Linked DNA regions of Schizosaccharomyces pombe. The protein of the gene in region 2 interacts with the protein of the main gene of each other region in a pairwise test. Each region holds a gene or a part of one and is shown on either strand. Other genes may lie near its edges.

Region 1 (4,895 bases), on a different chromosome or scaffold from region 2:
AACATGACGACAATTCAAAACAAAAGAAAAAGGCAACCTATGTTTTAGTTTATACCAAGAAAATGGAACCTAAAAAAATTAAATCCTCTCATTGTTTTGCTTTGCGTCTATCGTTTTGTAACGCACCGACACGCACTGACATACCAAGTGACTTGCTACCTCAGATTATCTGGGGTAGACTTCGGTGGTTAAAAGAAGGTTAGTCCGTGGATTTCACTCCCTTCACCCGCATCTTCCTTATCAGGCCCAAAGGGAGTTAAACGAGTTACGCTCGTTGCGATAACATGTAAGCTACGCAGTTTGGTATCTGATTTAAGGATACGTAGAACTGCGGTGAGTTTTCCTTGTGGTCTATTATATTACAATACACAGGTTGTATAAGTAGCAACTGAGTATAGGTATTGTATTAACTGGGTTATAATGTTACCTATCACTAATATAGCTCATAACTGAACTGAGGAACGAGGTTCAGTTGTAACGCTATTTATAATATTTCTAAATACTTGTATCAACGGGTATCTATGTATATAGAAGGATAGTTACCCGTGATTATCAATAAACGGATCTTAGCTAGTATTCCAACATATGACATATAGTGATACGCAACGTAGTGTAGCATAGCGTAGTGTAGTATTGCTGACATAACGAGAATTTTCGAGATATAAAGAAGAATAGGTTTTCAGTTCATTCAAGTCAATATAAATGGATAGAGATACATAAAATAGAAATTTTAATTGTAGTCGCATTTTATTTTTTATTATTAGTAAAATAATATTTTACTTTGCCTCGTACCATATAGCTCATTCACAGCCTTCCAATGTTTCTAAACTGAAGAAGACTGGAAAAAGGCGAATGTAAAGAAATACAACAGTATAAACGAGATTGACTGCTTCCCAAAATGATTTTTTAAAAGGATGTTTGTAAATCTGCTTGTATCCAACACACTGGGCATACAGTGAAAAGTTATTCTTATGAAACCAATGTGTCAATACGCTTTGTAAACAATGACAGAAAAGAATGTATCAAGAGGTAATGGTTGTAATTATCACGTTATAGATAGGTATGTAATTATTGATATAAATCAAGAGAAAATGTATACGTATCCAGGAATATCAACCTTTGTCGTACACATTATTATGTGTGTGTATGTGATATAGCAGCATCAAACTGGTTTGCTAGATCTAAAAACATATGGACATCTCTTTATGGATACGTATAGATGCCAAACTTTGATGTATGAAGATTTTGACGAGCTAGGCCAGCAAGTAACTCAACAGCCGCATGTACACCATCAATGATGGGAATATTGGGACCTACGGCAACCTGAATCTGATCACGAATAGCTGCTAAAGCAGCACCACCTAAACAAATGACATCTGCACCCTTTGTGTTTGCCAGTTCTTGGGCCTTTTGGACAAGAAGGGTTTCACGCTCTTGTGAAGGCATTTGCGAAAGTTGCAAAACTGTGCGACCTGTAGAAGCAATGGCGGCCACTCGAGTGCGCGAAACACCAAAAGAATCGAGTAATTCGTAAAGCAAACATTCGGAACGATATGTACTTGTAAGGATGCCGATGCGCTGACCAACCGATAAGGCACTGAGGACAGACGCTTGCACAATGCCCATGCAGGGTAAAGCAAATGACTCACGAATCATGTCGACTAGAGGAGTGGGGGAATAACAGGCAACAGCTATAGCATCGACACCATCCAAGACACTAGGAGTTAGGGCTTGGAAGACTAGAGCAGCTGTCAAGGTTGCCTCTGTGATGGAGTCGATGACAGCAGCACCGGGTTGAGGACAAGTTAGAAAGCGCAACTTTACATCTGAAGGCACTAGGGGAACGAGTTTTTCTTCCATGGATGTTGTGATGAAGGTGGAAGAGTTTGGATTGATGACGAGAATGGTAGGCATGATGAGAGAAAATAGAAAGGTAAGAGACGAAGAGAAAGAAGGTAGAGAAGAGAAAGCGAAGAGAAAATAGTAAGAAAAAGAGCAAGCAAAGGGGAAATAGTAGAAAAAAAAAAAGTAAAAGAGAATGTTGAAGCTGAATTTACAGAGACACAAAAAATAATACAGTTTATTGGAAAATAAACCTTTTTTCTAAACTGTTTGTCAAAAACTAAAATTGAAAAACCAGTGTCACAATTTATTATAAAGTGTAGAAAATCGAGTTTCCAACAAAATGGCTTGAAAAACGAAAAATATTTTTAACAAGTAATGACTAAAATAGATTTGATCGTTTGTTTGGTTTTTGCTTATTTACTCTTAGTAGACTAGACTCGACTAGACAATCTATTTCAAGGTTGATGACTAAAAATGCTGTTTCAAGCTGCTGTAGACTGCAATTGAAATTGTCTACAGAATTGATAAGACGCAAATCAAGTGTAAGGGGTTGTTTGAGTAAACTTGGAAACTCCGTTTCCAAGTTGTTCAATGTGCACTCTGATAATGAACACAGTCGGACCCGAAGAGGAGATGAGACTGATGACTAGTAAACAGCGTCAGTGAGTAGCAGCAACGATGGTACTGATAGTATAGGTGATTGAAAAGTTTGTAGGACAATGTTGGATTGCTATGCTATACTTGAGCTGCCTTTGGAATGTTGGTCAAGCAAAGCACAAGCACCACTAACCACCAGACTTACTACTAGCGCTGTTAGGATTATGTAATTGAAATATTCTCATTTACCTGCAAAACGTTAAATCTTCTATATGCACTATCTCCCACTTTACTCTTTTACCGATTCTTTCCCACTCGTTCTACACTTGCAAACTCGAGTCCGAAGCCCGTTCCAACTCGCACCCTGTCCCACTAAAAATCGCACTCCAGAACATCGGTGCTTAGTCTTCTGGTCAAGAAATTTCCGCCGATTGTCTTAATGAATTCCCCTCAAACCTCAATTTAAGTCATCACCTAGACGGACGGGTGCGACTTGGGTATTCCCCCTATCGATGCCTACTTCTTCCAATGACCTTTACCAAACAAGACTTGATGTGCAGACGCCAAATCGATGGTTTCTTTACATTTCATTAGAATTGTTTAACAACATGTATTCTCCGTTTCGTAGCAGCTCAGTCTTACTCAGTGGTGCTCAGTCCGATATACCGAAGGTTGGCAAATGCTTGTTTTTGCCATGCCGCTCACTCGAATTTAGAGCATCGGCAAACTCACTTAGCGTACATTTCCTACTCAATGTAATTTCAGCAATCTTATCTATGTTGATAGAGAGGTATGCGGTAGAAGTGATAATGAGCAAAATTACATGGCCCAGGAGTAATGAGGATTGGAGGTTCCATGGTATAAAAGGTTGATGTGAATACCATGTTGTCTCATCAAATCAAAAGAAAAACTCACTGAAGAGAATCACACTGACCATTGTTCGTCTTGTGCTTCTGCTACAATTGATTTGAATTGAAGTTCATAATAATACCTGGGTGATACAACATCTACGTAAAGTCTTCAATTACTGCTACTCTCCGTAAAAACAACTAAATATTCGTAACTTTTCTCGCTGTCCCAGCTTGTTTACTTGCTCCGATAGCATTGTGCATTATTGACTTGTGTAAATTTCCTTTCAAATCTTAGTTTAATTTCGTTTTGAACAGCCAATACCCATCGTGTGTTGCTATAATCCATTGTTATAGATTTTCGAAAAGAAACAAACATTCGAAAACCACTCTACGCCATTGTTATCAATAAACGAAACGATTGTTGTGAATTTTCGACTTTTGCTCCTCTACTTGTCCAAAGTTGAACTCTACTAGTTTAAACGTTTTTAAGGTTATCAAGAATACCTTTTTTCTCATATTTTTTTTTCAATCCTCCTTTATTACTCGTTTCGTAAGAGAACCCATCTTGTTTCTTACCAACTTTTCTTTAAATTCTTCGTTCAATCATGTCTGCCACTGCTACTACTACGGTTGTGGAACCTCCTACCACCACTTTGACTGGTGCTACCGAGCCACCATTTACTGCTTATACCACTTCTCAAGGTCTTCGTGTTTCCCCTGTTCCATTGCCGGAACACAATACTGATGTTGGATTTGGTGCTTTGATCGAAAATGTTGACTTGAATAACCTCTCGGATGAACAATTCGAAGATATCCGTAAGGCTCTTTTCGAACATCAAGTGGTTTGTTTCCCCAATCAACACAATTTACCCCCAGAGACTCAGTACGCTATCACCCATCGCTTTGATCCCGAGTCTTCTACCTATGGTCACGGCAATCGTACAAATCAGCAAAACAACAGCATCTTACATCCCGATTTGCACACCCTTCCCGGTGTTCCTCAAGTACAACTCATTGGTCATGGTGTTGTGAAGGATCATTACGGTCTTGAAGAGGTCCGACTTAAACATCCTCATCATCGAACTTTCCATCGTGATCCCATTTCTGAGGAGGAAGAAAAAGAAAAACAAGTCACCCGTTTTTATCGTTGGCATATCGATGCTGCCCTTTATGACTATAACCCTCCTGTAGTCACTACCCTTCTCGCCGTTAATGCTCCACAAGGCACCCAAACTCTTCGATATGATGATAAGTCTGGCCATGAGATGCCTGTTCCATTAGGTTCGACAGCTTTCGCCTCAGGCTATCGCATGTACGAATTGCTCACTGACGAGGAAAAGAAGGTGGCTGCTCGTACTCGCGTTCAATATTTCCCTCATGCCTACGTTACAATCAATAAAGCTAGAGCCCTTCCCAATGGTTTGGGTATGTATTCTGAGGGACTTGAGCTTGACAAGTCTGAATTACCTCCTTGGGAGGAGAGCAGGGTTAAAACATTCCCTCTTCTTTGGAAAAATCCTGTAACCGGAAAGCTTGCCTTGCAGACTCACGGATGCTGTGCTGAGAAAATCCTAATCGACAACGAAGATGGCACCACCACTG
Region 2 (3,583 bases):
TTTGATTTTTCTTTAGATTGTACATTTTTTGAACTAAAGGAATACTTTCGTAAAGAAACGAAAAGCGTATAAGCTTTTATATTAAGGCATTCACAATTGATAGGTATAAGTTTTTTTTGACGGAGAAAATTAAAATATGGCCGGTATAGGTTAGCAAAGTCCGATTTTAAAATATTCATTTCAGAGGAGATCGTGACCTTAATCAACTGAATCTTTTTATGAAAAACATATGAGCGAATATCTATACTTTCTTCGTTGCGAACAATGAGTTTGGAGATATGGAGGCAATCTACTACCTTTTGAACAGAGGCGGTAGAAGATCCTGGAGTTGCGGTTAAACCAAGGACTCGAAAATGACTATTAGATCTAAGCACTGCCCTCATAACCTGAGCATACGAATGGTTGCCAGTAGCTCTATGAGCTTCATCAAATATCAGGCAAATAATACTTTTGGCATCCAGTAAATGTTCCTTTAAATCATTCTGGAGTGTTTGTGGAGTCATGAAAAATACTCGTTTCGTATTGTATTCGAAAAGTCGACGATCCGGTGATACTTCACCGTTCAATTCAGCGGTAGCACCTGGTGACATTCCCGCTACATTGGAACAAGCAACTCTTTGTTGCAACAGTAATGGTTTTGTGGGGGCAAGAAATATTATTTTGCTTTCAGGAAACCAACGAAAATAGTTTAACATGACCACTGCCGCAATAAATGTCTTTCCCAACCCAGTAGGTAGAGCCAGTAATAAATTGTGGAATAATGCTTGCTCACAAAATTCCTTTTGATAATTTCTATACTGCTGAGTCTGTGGAAAAATCCAGTTTTGCATTGCATCAATATTTTTTGGAATGTCAATATTGTTTTCTAACTCAGTTATAACTTGAGGTTGAGAAGAAGGAACCCTACAGCCTCGCAAGTCTAGTTGAAACGTAGTATTTTCAACGTCTTGATTATGTTTTATACATTTCAAATTTGGTTGCCTTAAAGCAGGATTAGAATTCAACAAAGATCCTTCAACATTACAAAGCACTGAGGTAGGAACATTTCCTCGTTCTCCGTTCACCTCGATACTTGGCAGGTCTACTTCAGAGTCGGAATAGTCACTTGAGTCTCTCAGTACAATCATGAAACTAAATTTATGAAAACGAACGAACACATAGACCAAAGTAAGTTTCAAAAATAAACTGAATATCAAACTTTTAAATTCTTGAACATCAAGTTTCTTCAATTTGATCAAACAACATTATAATCTTTGCTTTTCATAAACAAAGCTGATAAAACAATTAACAATTGAGTAAGATCAAGTCAGCGGAGGAGCATGAAAATTTAACGTTGTAAAATAAACACGAGTACTAATGCGATAAACAGAAAACAGTTTGCAAACTTGAAAAAAAAACTGTCAAACTCAAGAATTCAACTAACAAAATCACGTTACGGGGTGTTGATATTCACATCAGCAACTATGGTGGTGAAGAAAAATCACAACGGTATTAGTAGACATGTGAGATGTAAAGCGCGTTATCCAAAATAAATCCTCTACCACCATAAGATTATTAATTTTGCAATCTGCTAACCAACAGCAGTGTTTACAGTATTCGAACTTAATTTGAATCATGGACTCTGCTGATATCCGATCTGCGAAAGCAGCTTTGGAAAAAGCTATTCAGGGAAAGAATATAGAGGTTTGTAATTTGTGCTATTGGGACTTACAGATGGTTTTGAAGCTAATATCAAGCTAGACTATAATTAACATTATGACACGTTTAAAAAATGAAGTAGTTGCTACCGAAGAATTACTTAAGGTAGGTTTATTACATGCAATATGGTAGTATTCTCGCACGGATTGTTGACAATATATTACATGAATTTTGCAAATTTCACTTAATAGAAATAACATCTTTCTTAAAATACGAATTCCACAAGAGTACCAACATTTGATGGAGAATCGGTATTCAAAATACTAACCAATGATGCTAGGAAACCCGGCTGGGATTAGTCGTTGGCAAGCTCAGATCTCATCCCAATGAGAAAGTTGGTGAGCAAGCTCGGGAAATTGTAAAAAAATGGAAAGCCGATGTTAGTAAAGGTCGTCCATTGAAAACCACAACTACAACTTCCTCCACGCCTTCTAAACATGCGGATGTAGGTTCTCAAGCTCAAAAACAAGTTCAAAAACAAAGCAGCAGTGGTCAGCGTACTTTTAAATCTGATAATGTGAACGTCAATGTGACTGATGACAAGATTCGCAACAACTGTATTGGATTAATGTACAATGCATTAGTCATAGATTCGGATGAATCTTCTTCATTAATAATAGCCAAAGCCAAAGAAATTGATGCGCAAGTACTTGCTAGAGCAGCAGGTAAAACTGGTTCTGAATATCGAAACAGAATGCGGTCCTTGTATATGAATCTTAAAGATAAAAATAACCCGAAACTTAGAGCATCAGTATTACGAAATGAAATTACTCCGCAAAGACTCAGTACCATGACTTCTGCCGAATTGGCTTCAGAAGACCGTCGCAAGGAAGATGCCAAGCTAGAACAAGAAAATTTATTCCATGCGCAAGGTGCTAAACCCCAAAAAGCTGTTACAGACCTTTTTACTTGTGGGAAGTGTAAGCAAAAAAAAGTTTCTTATTACCAAATGCAAACAAGGTATGTTATTTGTCATGATTTTAGTACTTTTTATCGCGTAAAATTTATTAACAATCCGTATAGATCTGCTGATGAGCCTATGACAACGGTAAGCATTAGTCTATTTGGGTAGAATATTTGGACTAATTTTTTTTTAGTTTTGTGAATGTACTGTTTGCGGAAATCGCTGGAAATTTTCTTAAATCTTGGGTCAGCCCATTTAGATACCGGTTGTAAAATAATCCTTCATATTTCTTCTTCTTTTTATTGTTTTAGAAGCACTCTCCTCTATTGTGTGTGTTTTTTTTTGTTTTAGGATCTGATTGGTATCTTTCATTCTAGCGATGAATATATGCATATTTTACTTTTGCACACTCAATACGACACTTTTACAGTTATCCTACTTTACACTTCTTAATAAATCCAAATGGTGTTTTAAACGTACATTTAATAAGTTAACGCTTGATCAAAGCGAATAGATCATAAAATTCGACATTATTAATCCTCAATTAAACTGTAGTCATAATTAACAAGTGCAACGAAAAGTGGAACGATTAATTGTATTGGACAAAAATTTTAACAAAAATGAACGGGTTTACCATCGATACGAGTGTAATAAGCCGTATGCAAAATTGCAAATAATTCCGACAAGAATGGATAATTGCATTCTCAGAGAGAACATTGTCCTTTCCCAAAGAAAATAACAAGCAATAGCTCCTCCAAAAAAGCCTATTAATACTCCAGCCAACAAGGTTTCATATGACATGTCAAGTTCGTCGGCAGAAGAGTTTTGTCCTCCATTGTCAATCCAATCGTCTTCTGCCTCTCTGATAGCGTCTTCCGTGAGTGAATCCAAATTAGTTCCTCGTAAGCGATGAAATTGGCTACGCAAATTATTGACCTCGGTTTCTGTAAAACCAGCTTCACGTAAACGATCAAAACCACG

Evidence for each region. Proteins that work in one complex are often made in the same cells at the same time.
Region 1: the proteins of tfs1 (region 2) and SPOM_SPCC576.02 interact in a two-hybrid assay, tested with the Schizosaccharomyces pombe proteins (2 studies listed by BioGRID, with this or other methods).

Annotation. Positions count from the first base shown.
Region 1 is NC_003421.2:2,079,666-2,084,560, reverse strand, and holds SPOM_SPCC576.02 (hydantoin racemase family protein), read right to left. Parts: upstream 2,855-4,895; 5' UTR 2,692-2,854; intron 2,650-2,691; 5' UTR 1,915-2,649; coding exon 1,204-1,914; 3' UTR 534-1,203; downstream 1-533. Other genes in the region: SPOM_SPCC576.19C (uncharacterized protein), read left to right, coding at 2,955-3,314; alpha-ketoglutarate-dependent xanthine dioxygenase Xan1, read left to right, coding at 3,899-4,895.
Region 2 is NC_003424.3:2,114,413-2,117,995, reverse strand, and holds tfs1 (general transcription elongation factor TFIIS), read left to right. Parts: upstream 1-1,539; 5' UTR 1,540-1,614; coding exon 1,615-1,683; intron 1,684-1,740; coding exon 1,741-1,803; intron 1,804-1,978; coding exon 1,979-2,658; intron 2,659-2,721; coding exon 2,722-2,746; intron 2,747-2,795; coding exon 2,796-2,840; 3' UTR 2,841-3,083; downstream 3,084-3,583. Other genes in the region: ATP-dependent 3'-5'-directionality DNA helicase fml2, read right to left, coding at 1-1,127; protein dsc3, read right to left, coding at 3,233-3,583. UniProt on the Schizosaccharomyces pombe protein: Necessary for efficient RNA polymerase II transcription elongation past template-encoded arresting sites.